Linked DNA regions of Ovis aries. The protein of the gene in region 2 interacts with the protein of the main gene of each other region in a biochemical or structural test. Links are inferred from orthologs where the notes say so. Each region holds a gene or a part of one and is shown on either strand. Other genes may lie near its edges. The genes, in order: FAM20C, FGA and PLAT.

What was found.
Region 1: of the proteins of FGA (region 2) and FAM20C, one has a biochemical effect on the other in vitro, tested with the Homo sapiens proteins (2 studies listed by IntAct). The link is inferred for Ovis aries from reciprocal best matches to the Homo sapiens genes FGA and FAM20C.
Region 3: the proteins of FGA (region 2) and PLAT form a complex in vitro, tested with the Homo sapiens proteins (2 studies listed by BioGRID). The link is inferred for Ovis aries from reciprocal best matches to the Homo sapiens genes FGA and PLAT.

What each region holds. Positions count from the first base shown.
Region 1 is NW_024599764.1:35,586-39,147, reverse strand, and holds part of FAM20C (extracellular serine/threonine protein kinase FAM20C), read left to right. Parts: intron 1-1,925; coding exon 1,926-2,106; intron 2,107-2,666; coding exon 2,667-2,776; intron 2,777-2,936; coding exon 2,937-3,018; intron 3,019-3,553; coding exon 3,554-3,562. UniProt on the Homo sapiens protein: Golgi serine/threonine protein kinase that phosphorylates secretory pathway proteins within Ser-x-Glu/pSer motifs and plays a key role in biomineralization of bones and teeth.
Region 2 is NC_056070.1:3,025,193-3,029,444, reverse strand, and holds the start of FGA (fibrinogen alpha chain), read right to left. Parts: upstream 2,836-4,252; 5' UTR 2,772-2,835; coding exon 2,718-2,771; intron 539-2,717; coding exon 404-538; intron 1-403. UniProt on the Homo sapiens protein: Cleaved by the protease thrombin to yield monomers which, together with fibrinogen beta (FGB) and fibrinogen gamma (FGG), polymerize to form an insoluble fibrin matrix. Fibrin has a major function in hemostasis as one of the primary components of blood clots.
Region 3 is NC_056079.1:36,401,501-36,405,802, forward strand, and holds the start of PLAT (tissue-type plasminogen activator), read right to left. Parts: upstream 2,818-4,302; 5' UTR 2,739-2,817; intron 1-2,738. UniProt on the Homo sapiens protein: Converts the abundant, but inactive, zymogen plasminogen to plasmin by hydrolyzing a single Arg-Val bond in plasminogen.

The DNA.
Region 1 (3,562 bases), on a different chromosome or scaffold from region 2:
ACCCCTCCCCAGCAGCCCTGCCCCTTGTGACACCCCACGCACACCCGCGGGGCCTCTGAGATGGGCAAGGACTCACCCCTCCTGCCAGCAAAGCCCCAGACATTCAGGGGAACCGGCCTGGATTCTCCGGGACCCTCAGGCTGGCAGGCTGGGACCCCCTGATTTTCACGGAGACCGGAGCCAGGGAGCCCGTTTCGTTGGAGTCCTCGGGTCCTCCCCGCCGTCTGGCCCGCTGCCCTGAGCTGCCCTGGGCATCACTGTCAAGAGGAACAGGCACTGCCTCCCCGAGCCCAGCCACTCCACGCCTGTCCTCTCTGCTCCCTGAGTCAGGAGCTGCACAGCCCCCTGTTCAGGGACGGAGGCTCGGAGGAGTGAGGGCCCGGCCCCGCACGGGGCTGCAGAGCGGAGCAGTGAGAAGCCACAGGCTGGAGGAGCCCCACCCTGACGCCCCTGCACAGGCCGGGTTTCTGACGGGGAGAAGGCTGTGGGCCCGGGAAATGCCTCTCTCTTCACTTGACTCCATCTAAAGTCAGCTTAGGCTCAGAGGTTACAGACACGAATTCCAGGGCTCGGAGAGGATTTTCCTCCTGAAAACGGGCCGAGATTGAATCATGTCGACACAAGAGACCTCAGGCTGAGCCCAGTCTGCAGCAGCGCTGCAGGATCCTGAGGTGCAGGGCAGGGGCGGGCAGGCTTTGCTGTTGTCAGGGCGGGGGCCGGTGCGGAGGGGCCACGGGCTTGGGGCTTGTTTCCCCCACAAACAAAGGCAGTGACGGAGCGCAGGAACTCGGTTCCATAGGTAAGCGCAGGCTCAGACACGCCCGCCGCCCAGCACGAGGCGCTTCGCGACTCTGCTCCTGTGGGGCCGTGACCCACACGTCTTGGGTCCAGTGTCTGAAATGTGCAGTTAAGTGGTTTTTAGTGCATTCTCCGTGTTGTGCAGCAGGCCCCACTGATTCCAGGGTATTTGCTCTCCCCGAAAGAAGCCATCACTGTTCAAAGCCACCCCCTCCCCTCCTCTTGGCTCTGAGAGCCGCCAGCTCCCATTCAGTTCGTCCCCTGCCAGGGTCTCGTGCGCACGGTGTCTGGCTTTGCCCACAGTGTTCGTGGCTCGTCCATGTGGTGTTCCACTTCGTTCCTTTTGTGGCTAAGTGCTGTTCCACGTTACGGGCAAACCACGCTGCCTCCGGGGGTGGTCTGCTGGGAACACCTCCGTCAAGGGTCTGCGTGGACGTGTGTCTTCCCTTCTCTCGGGTGTGTGCCTGGGAGTGGGGTGGCCAGGTTACCGGTTCTGTGTCCAGCTTTCTGACTGGTTTTCACAGCAGCTGCACCACTTGACATCCCCACCACAGCTGCATCAGGGTGCAGCCAGTTTCTCCACACTGTCAACCACACTGGTGGTATCTGTTCTTTTGATCAAAACTGTCCTAGTGGGTGAGAAACTGCGGATTTGATTTGCATTTCCCCGATGACTCACGGTGCCCAGCATCTTTCCCCGTGCTTGTTGGCCATTACTATATATTCTTTGGAGAAGGATCCTTGAACTCCTTTGCCCATTTATAGATTGGGTTATTTATCTTTTTATTACTGAGATGGAAGGGTTCTTGTGTGAATACTGGGTGCTTATTCGGTCATGATTGCAAGCATCTCCCCCATGCTGCCTCTCTTTGGAATGAGGGCCTTTTGCAAACCACTGAACAGAACCTCCACAGACCCCAGACCTAGTTTGGAGGGTGATGAGGAAGAACCCAGACTCCGATCCGAGCTCTGCATCCCTAGCTGTGTGGCCCCGGGGCTGGGGCAGGTGGCTGAGGTCCAGGGTGAGGCCGTGGGCGGGCCCCGCCCAGGGAGGGAAGACGAAGACTTGGTGCCGACACGCAGACCCCGCCTGCGGGGCCCCCGCTGACCGCCCCCTCCGCCCGCAGCCAACAACATCTGTTTCTACGGGGAGTGCTCGTACTACTGTTCCACGGAGCACGCGCTATGCGGGAAGCCGGACCAGATCGAGGGCTCACTGGCCGCCTTCCTGCCCGACCTGTCCCTGGCCAAGCGGAAGACCTGGCGGAACCCTTGGCGACGCTCGTACCACAAGCGCAAGAAGGCAGAGTGCGTTGGGGGCGCGCTGGGCCGGGGACTCTGGAGTCCTGCCTCCCTGGGGTCTCGGGAGGGCTGGCTCCCACCCGACCTGCTGTAGAGAACGAGCCCCAGGGTCTTGTCCACAGCAGACGGTGTGAGGAGCCGCAGGGCTGCACTTGAGGCCGCAGATAATCAGAAAGGGCCCCTCACGCAGGGACTGGGCGCCAACTCCCCCCCGGGTCTCTCCACAACTGGACGAGGCTTCAGATCCCTTCCCCCCCTTGAGAGAGACGCTGTCCCTCCAGCTGTGGAGACGTCCTCGCGAGTGAGCTGTCCCGGCCTGTCCACACACGTGGCCTCTGGGTGGTGTGGTTTAGTCGCCTCCCCGCCCCGTGCTCCTCCCAGCCCCGTTAACGCAGCCTCAGCCCACCACAGAGATCCTTTGCTCTGCGGTGACACCTTTTCTCACGCAGTCCCCCGGCTGCCCCATGGATCCGCGGTCCTGAGCCGGGCAGCCCCAGGCCCCAGGAGGTGGTTTGGGCCTCCTTGTCATAGAGGAGCCCACCACTCTGATGCCGGGTCCCCTGCAGGTGGGAGGTGGACCCTGACTACTGCGAGGAGGTGAAGCAGACTCCGCCCTACGACAGCAGCCGCCGCATCCTGGACATCATGGACATGACCATCTTCGACTTCCTCATGGGTACGTCCAGGGCCCCTGGCCTGCCCAGCGAGCGCCCAGCTCAGGCCCAGCTGCCGCGGCCGTGCTCATGCTCACTGCTCCCCGCGCGGAGGCCGGACGGGGAGGGAGGGCGGCGCGCCTCCGAGCCTCACGCAGGCTCCCAGCAGGCTGGTCCCCACAGGGAACATGGACCGCCATCACTACGAGACCTTCGAGAAGTTTGGGAATGACACATTCATCATCCACTTGGACAACGGGAGAGGGTGAGTCCTCCCGGGCGCCGCGAGGGGCCAGCTGCCCCGGCCCAGACACACCGGGGGGCGGGCGCTCCGTGGGAGGGACGGCCCGGCCCCCAGAGGCCCCCTGGGGTGACGCAGGGCCCTGGCCCGGGCTCCTGTGAGCTGGGGACAGGGCCCCAGAGCAGGCGTGTATGCAGGCCTCAGGCCCTCCGGGGGTCAGAGCGGCAAGTACCTGGACGCCTCGGGGGAGTCAGCTCTGGGCCCCTGGGCAGTGTGTGGGGCCCTCACGCCCAGCTGTAAAAGACACCCCTGCGGCTGGATCCGAGGCTGCCCTGCGCTCGGGCCTTGTCCACCTAGCCCGGCCAGGGCCTCTCGCTGTCGAGCTTCCGCTCAGTCCAGCAACCAGAGGGTGAGACGGGCTGTGTTCACCTGCCTCGCCCGAGGCCCTGCGTCTGGGCTGGGGACAGCAGGAGGCGGGCCCCGGCGGGCCCCAGGGGCAGCCTGGCAGCACTGCCCAGGTGCCCCCGCCCGCTCCCCAGCTCTGCCCTTCTTGCCCCAGGTTTGGGAA
Region 2 (4,252 bases):
CTCCTCTTCAGATCATTTCTTGACCTAAAAGTAGTTTCAGAGGGCTAGTCAGAGACCAGGGTCCGCTTAACCATAGATTAGGACCCATGAAATCTGGAGGCCCTGATACTCAGGTTCCTAGTACTTGTCTGAACATGCAGCTAAAATCCAATCTGTTAATCCCACCAATGACCCAGAGCCTGGGAGGTAATTTAAGCAGTGCTCTCAGGACTAGGTTCTTTTCTCCTTGTCTTCTTTTATTCGCTATGTAGGTTGATCAGGTTATTTGCTACTGGACGAGTTTTCAGTGACCTGAAGTGGCAGCTTGCATGCACTTGCCAGCAGGCCAGGAAGGACTGTCCAGAGTCAATCCATGTGCCCAGGGAAGGGCTCTCCTGCCCCAGTCCCCGTGCCCATGGCTCACCCAGTCTTCATCAGCGCAGAAGGGCCAGCCTGTCTCTTTGCAGGTAGATTGCTGTTTTTCCACAAGTCTTGGGCCACGCACCCCTCCTCCTTCAGCTAAAAATTCACCGCCGACAGGATCACTATCATCTGCTGTCTTTAACGATAACACACACAAAAAAGAGAGGTGATCTTTAAGCAGATAAAGAGGAGACACTGGCATGCCTATAAATCCTGACCAAGGGATCCAAGGGGCTCTATAAGCTTCAGTTTTCTTATCTTTTGGATGAAAATCCTTAAGGCCCATTTTGTGCAGTTGTGAGGTTAAAGGAGATTAGTGTACGAACCTTAACTGTGTTTGACACTAATCAAACCTTTCGTAAATGTTAGGAGTTTTAAAGGATCTGTTATTAAAGAAAAATTACTTGAATCAACAAACAGTTAAAATTTACATTTTCGTTCATATCTGGAGATAGAAAAATAATGGAGAAACTCAAGAGTTCTCTCTCCTCTAACTCCTGTTTTAATAGGAAAAAACCTACACTTCAGGTCTGTGTCTCCTTCGAATATCTACAATGACCTTATGGGTCCAAAATTTAAACAACCATATACTGAGGACAAATATGTGGACAATTCAGACTCAGAAATGCTTTTAGGGTTACTCACATAATAATTTCTTTTATTTGAAATGAAAAGTATACTGAAAGAAAAAAAAGAAGGTCCAAGATTGGCAACTTTTTTTGAACATCTTATAATTGGAAATAAAAATTTAAAAAAATTTTCTATTGGTATCAATGAGTGAAATAGGATATATAAATATTCTTCCAACAAGGTGGTATAACTTAATACATCAATGTTGATTTTAGGTTTTAACTATTTTTATTTTGTACCACCGACTTGCAGGGAGTTTTCCGACTGTCTTAATCTCAGTAGTTTATTTTTGTTATCATTTAATTTATTTATTTTCTCTGCGCTGGCTTTTCTCTAGTTTTGGGAATCCTCTCCACTTACGGTGTGCATGGTCGTGGGTTCTCTTGTTGCGGAGAACAGACCCTAGGGCTTTCGGGCTGCAGTAGTTGCGGTTCCCAGGCTTTAGAGCACAGGCTCAATAGCTCTGGAGCATGGGCTTAGTTGCTCTGCGGCATGTGGGATCTTCCCAGACTAGGGATTGAACCTGCCTTTCTTGCATCTCCTGCAATGGCAGGTGGATTCTTTACCACTGAGCCACTAGGAAAGCCCTCAGTAGTTTATTTTTATAATTAGTTAGTATTTTCTGTCTCATTAAAAAAAAAAAAACCAATAATAGTAATGTGAATTCAAGCAATCAAGAGCGATTTATTTAAAGGAACAAGCACAATCTTTTTGTTTTAAAAAATAAAATTATAAATTTAGACGTACTTTGGAATAAAATGACAAGATAATAAAAACAGGTGAAAATTAAATATTTATGCCAATAGTGGAGAAATAAATGAAATTTATGCATTATGCAAAATATAACTTTAGCAAGTGATGTTAGTCTTATTTCCTAAAAAAATGGTTATTTGTTGCTTACTGTACGGGAGAAAATTATGTTAGAAATACTCTTGAGTTTCTTCTACTCTGGTAGGGTTTATAAGTAGTAAAGAGAAAGAAATAAACCAGCATAGTTCACGGCCTGGAAGTAACTGAATTTTTAGAACAGATTTATGATGTTTTCATAAGATTAATTGTGTTTCAAAAGTATTGTTGAATGAAGTTTCTCTTCTTTTGTGTAGAACCTTGTAGTCAAACTTTAGGAATTATTGCAATATTTGTGATTATCTTAAAAGCATACAATTTCTTCCAAAAGCATATTGCTTTATCAATTAATCTCTTCTGATTTTACTGTGTAATTTGTTTTAAAAAATAGCTAATTTTCTTTTGTCTTAAACACAAAACAAACTCTTAGAAAAGCTACATTAAACCATTGCTCTGCATGTTATGGGCAAATACAAATTAATAATTAGGTTAAAAATTCTTATCATAAGAATGTTCTGTTAGCTAGCAATCCCAAGGCTTTACAGCAACAAAGATAGCAAAGATTTCTTCTCTTTAAAACAAACAAACAATATAAAACCAAGGTACAGGTGCAGAAGCTTCCCCCTGTGAATTTATACACTTGGGTCCAGCTAAGTCTCTCTCTTAGGATCATATTCCCTGTATTCTTGAGATGTCAGTCCTATCTGGGAACTTGCCTCCACAGGCTACAGTTTATAAAGCCAGCAGTGTGTGATGATATACACATAGCTGACTCAGACCTGCAAGCTCTTTGTAGAATAAACACCAGGGAGAAAGAGAAAAGGAAATAGAGGCCATACCTGAATTGCACCCACCAAACTCAGGACCAGGCAGAGGTCCCTCACGGAAAACATCTCTGCCGTGGGTAGGTCTGACTCAAGAGAAGCACCCAGCTGAAAGAAAGGAAGACTGCCTCCTCTTCCAGGCCCCATCCTATTTAAATCTGCAGGAGGTCTGATTAATCATTATCTTTGTCCCATTGAGACAGTCAACATGCACCCTGCATCCCTCGCTCCTTCTGTAAGGTTGTTGTCCTAGAATTTCTTGCTCAATTCCCCAAGCTTGTTTGCTTCTGATAAGCTATTGCAAAGGTAGCCCAGTTCGTGGAAAATTCCACATTCCAGGAACATGGTGACTTTGGAAATGCAAGGGGGAACATGGGAGGACCTACTATTGGAGTACTTGAAAGAATACAGAGGGTGGCAGAGGCAGGCTAGCCATAGCCCACCAGGAGGTAGAGATTTGACAACTGAGGTTTCAGTTTACATAGGAATGATGGTTGGTGGATCTGACTTTTGACTGACTATGACGATGAACTGATCCTGAAGGGCTTCAGTAAGCTTACTGTGAGCAGAGATGACTTCCCTTTATCCAGAATGGTTAGGACAGGCAGCCCCTGAAGCCAAATATCCTAGATTCATAATCCCAGCTACACCATTTCCCAGCTCTGCTTTTGGACAAAGTACTCCACTTCTTTATGCCTCAGATTCCTCCTAGTGATAACTTACCACACATTTTTATGAAGAATAAATAAGTTAATCTTTGTAAAGCCCTCAGATTGCCACATAGTAAGTACTCAGTAGTAAGTGTGAACAATTATTGGAAAACATAAAATGCAATGAAACTATTATTTCTTTCCGGTTTCTGTAACTTTGGACCTGCTAATTTATTTCCCTGCTCTTTATTGAATTTTCTTTTCTAAGGAGTTACCAGATTTAGCAAATAAAAGACGAGGATGCCCAGTTAAATTTGAATGTCGGATAAACAGCAAATATATTTTAGTGTTAGTGTGTCCCATTCAGTATTTGGACATAGACTAAAAATTTATTGTTGTTGTTTATTTGAAATATATATTTAACTGGGCATCCTATGATATGTCTGTCAATCCTACCTTGTCTCAAATGCTGCTTCCTATATGAAGCCAATCCTGATCGTAGTATAATAACCAAAAATTATTGAGTGTTTACTACATGCTGGGCACTTTGTTGGACACTTTACATAGTACCTGATTTCATGTCTCCAATTGAAATCTGCCTCTTATTTTTTCATACTTCCTTAGACCATGTACCACTCATAATATTTAGTACTACAGGAACATTATCCATCTCATCCATTAAATCATAAACTGGAGAACTGACATATTTTATTGATCTTTATATTTTCCTCAAAAGGTATGGGACTTCACCAAACAAGAAAGCATACATGAACTCCACTGTTGTGACCACTGTCTCTTCAGGCTCTGTGGGTGTGTGAAGCCTGGTGTGATTGTGTGAGAGTCCTGGTACAAGGCAGAGCCTTCCCACACCACCTGCTCCATGGAAGCTTCTTTGTCTGA
Region 3 (4,302 bases), on a different chromosome or scaffold from region 2:
GATGGTGTGGGCAGCTGCTAAAGACCCCCCAGTTGTACCAGTTCCCCAGGAAGAACTGCTGCTATCATTTTCTGGAGAATCATGATCAAAACCAGAACTTGCCTGGCTTGTACCTTCAAAACTGTTTATAAAATGCCTGCTGTGGGCCCAGCACCCAGTTCCTTTTCCCTTTGTACTAAGTTTCAACTTTCAGGCGATCAAGAGGTCTGTTCATCTATCCCTCTATGCCCTTCTATAGAAGTCTTTTTCGCAGGTGGGAAAGTGGAATGTAAAATGCACAAGTATGACTGAGAAAGTGTGCTCTCCTTAATATGTAAGTAGACGCTCAGGCGAATAGCAGGAGACCGTGTGCCTGGACTTGAGGGCTGGACTAGGGCAGATGGTTCAGAAGATTCTTCCTAGCTCGAGCTTTCTGTGAGTCTGGATCCTCCTCACCTTTTAATCTGGCTCCACTGGAGACCCAGCCCTTGGTTTTGTGAGCTGGTTGGCTAGGATGAGTTTTACTGTCTGAAACTAGGGACACAGTTTTTCTCTGTGCACAGAGAACAGCCAAAGAAGGAATGAACAGAGTATTCCGGTCACTCACCGTCCACTCTGACCATCCTATCAGAACAAGGCAGAAAGTCACTCATAGGGAATACAGATTTTATTCTGAGACTGCACATGCCTGGGAGCCTTTGAAACTGAACACTTCAACTCAAGACACAAATGTTCCCTCCTCCCTCCCCCAGATATTCAGTATTCAGAGAAGCATATAGATTTTGAGTTTTGACTGGAACTAAGCCTACTATTGGGCTTCCCAGGTGGCGCTAGCAGTAAAGAACCTACCTGCCAACACAGGAGACATAAGAGATGCTGGTTCGATCCCTGGGTGGGGAAGATTCCCTGGAGGAGGGCATGGCAATCCATGCCAGTATTCTTGCCTGGAGACTCCCATCGACAGAGGAGCCTGGCAGGCTACAGTCAGTGGGGTTCCAAAGAGCCAGACACGACTGAAGTGATTTAGCACACACAGCAAGCCTGCTTGCTATTCATTCCATGAGCCATGCTGTCCCCTCGGCCTCTGATCCAAGACAGCCTACCCTCCCTCTGGAAGCTTTGGAAGTTTAAAGCCAACTGTGCTCCTCTCAAACGACGGTCTAGCCCAAGGCCCCTCACGCTGCTGTAAAACCCCAGGCGGGACCAGAAGACCTGGAGGTGAAGTAGAGACAGGCCCCACCTGGGCAGGGACTTCCCAGATGGCCTGTGGTCCTGGCCACTCACTCACAAAAAGCCTTTCGTGGTGATGACAGCTTCACGTCACACCGCCAGGGATCTGGCTGGGTTGCTCTTTGCATTCGTTTGAAATCTACTGATCACCAGCTCTGCTCACCAACACGCTAGGTCCCCAGGTCCCCAGGTCCTGCCCCCACAAGCGAAAACTCATCATGGGACCATTTCTGTTCCTCCAGAAGCAGGAACTGTCCCAGGCCAGTGCAGAAGCCACAGAGAGCAGCCTCACTGGGAGAATCTGATCTAATGGTTTATAAAATAAACCGAGCATCCGCAAAGAGCCTGGACCATTCGGGCGGAGAGCAAGCTCTCGCTTGCTCATGCCAAGAGCCGGCGCTTGCAGGCTGGTGTCTCTGAGAATGTTTTAGGTGCGATCAGTTGATGGGTAGGATGGAGCTCTTCCTATTTCGGTTATTTGCGCCGTCTCTGCTGGCGCCAGGTCTGGCTTTGCTCTCACAGGAAGCACTTAGCCGGCAGCTCCTCTGACTGTCATCTATTGATTCTGGAGCAGTCAGAGCCCAGATCCTGGGACGTCTTCTGCCCCCAGGCAAGACTTGCTAGGAAGCCCTTCTGAGGAAACTCCACTTAGCGGCTGTATTTCAGAATTTCTTCATGGGCTTGCACACACATGCACACGCACACACACATAATGTTTTCTCTGTCATGCACCAGCTGCGGGAGGCCACCACTGCCGTCCACATCAGTCACCGCCACCACACGGCTTTGGGCTTGAGCGTGTCATCAGTTACCTTAGAGTGCCTTCCTTCCCTCCCTCCCTCCCTCTCTGGGAGGTAAAGAAAATCAACATAATAACAGTGAAAGCCTAGAATGCCCAATACAGTTCCTGTAGAGAGCTTGGGGAAGAGAAGACTCTGTAATTGGAAGAGTCCTCAAAGAGCCCTCCCCTCCCATCCTGGGCAAAAAGCCAGAGGACAAAACCCGGCCTCGGAAGGAGACCGGAGGCTTCGCTCTGACGGTTTCCCCCTTCCTCTCACCCAGCACTTCCCACCCAGTGAATCCTCCGTGGGCAAGTCGCTCTCTGCCCAGCCCTGCCTCAGTTTCCCTGTGGGCTCATGCCCCCGGGACCCTCTGGCCTCTGACCCCATCAGCCTGTCTCCCTTCTCTTGCCCGTGAGTGATGAGCCGGGCCCACCGTCTACTCAGAGCGGGTATGGATCACCCTTTTCACTTTCCCCTGTGCGAGCAGAGATTTCTGCTTCAGGAGACACAACCCTAGTGCCCTCTCTCTTGCCCTGACCGCTGCTGTCCCCTCGAACGCTTCAGCCCATCCCTGTAGGATGCACATTCAAAAAGAAACCTCCCTCCAGACATGGATTCTAGCGAACCCCACTTTTGGCCTGAGTGACGGAGTCAGCCCCCTCGGGCCGACATTCCTTCAGTGGCTCATAAAGACTTTTAAGAGAGAGAAGAGGAGCCAGGGACAGAGAGGCACAGAGTCCAACCTACCGTGCGCCCAAGCCTTCTCCCTCCTCCAGAGGCGTTGTCTTCGGCGCCAGGCTCTGCAGGACCGTGGCTGGCTCTCCCTGCAGGGCACCGGCCTCCTTTAAATTTCAAGGCAGGGGGTGGGGTCGCTGGCCCTGGGTGGGCGGGCTTTGCTGCGGCAGGAGGATGCCCAGTGGACACTGGGCCCCGCAGGAGCCAAGCTGGGGCGGGCCTCTTTTCATAAAGGGGGGGAGGAATTTCCCCCATGGAAGCAGCCCAGCCCATCCTGGCTCGGGGCCAGGCCGATTATTCATGGTCCTGATGTCATCAACGAATCACAGGAATTTGGGAGTTGGATGTTGGAGGGGAACCCGAAGAACCATCTTCCTTTCAAACCCTAGTCTCAACCTCCTTAAAGGGACCCTGAGGATCCGTTAGCTCTAAGCCCCAGTGGGGGAGAGAGGCTTTTACAATTCTAAACAAAGACACACGGAGTGGATAGGGTTCTTCCGGAATCTCCAGCAGTCACTCTGCCCCTCTGGACACAGGAGATTGAAACAGCGGGCCTGGCAGGGCCAGCCGCCCTGCGGGCTTGATCACCTGGGGCTGGGGTGAGGACAGGTTAGCAGAGGTAGGCAGGCCCCACCTGCACACCTGCAGTGCCCCAGCCTGGAGTGAGCCACTCCTAGCTCCATCACCCCGGGGGGAAATCATTTCACTTCTTCATAAAGTGAATCCTTGATTACTAAGGTCTGTTCAGCTCCAGAGATGTCTGGTTGGGCTGGGGGATACAGGTGGGGTTGCTGAGTTGATGCTCTGACTCCACGGGGCTGCCTGTACTAGAAACTCCATCCCTCCCCGCCCACCCCGACACTGGGAAGTGTTTTAGTGTTCTGGAGTTTGCTCTTAATCGTAAATGCTCCGTAGGATTTGGTAACCCCCTGCAGAGGACTCATAAGTCAGGGCCCAGGGCTGAGCCATGTAGGGAAAGGCAGACGCTTGAATCAGCTGTACCGGGCATGAGGGATGTGACCTCAGTCAAGTTTTTCAGTGATGCTGAGCTTTCACGTCTGAGGTCACATATGGATTAGAGAGAGACAAAGCACGCGAGATCCCTGGCACGTCACAGGGCACAGTCGGTGGCATCTGTTATGTCGATGTCTAGTGGAGACCAGGCACCATGAGGGTGAGAGAGGAGGACGAGGAAGGGTGCTGGAGAGGATGCTGGGGGCTGGCAGAGGAAAGTGGGAGGGACGAGCGGCCAGGTGTCCTGTATTCTAATCCTAAACACGCTCGTGTTTATCAAGCAATGAGAGCTGATTCGGGATTTGGAAAATAATGCTAGCGTGGCCAAGGTCGAACCAGTTTTCTACATTTTAATCAAACCAGAGCCCTGCCAACGGCCGTTACAGGAAAGGCAGTGGGGGACCAAGTCAGGCATATCCTGGTGCATCAGAGCCAGGCAAGCTGCAGACCAGCATCAGACAAGCTACAGCAGGCCGGGGGGAGTGCCTCGAGATGTCTACTTTGCCAGAATAAGGCTTGGAGGGTTTGGGGATTTTTTGGCATTTTGGTTCAGCAGGGGTAG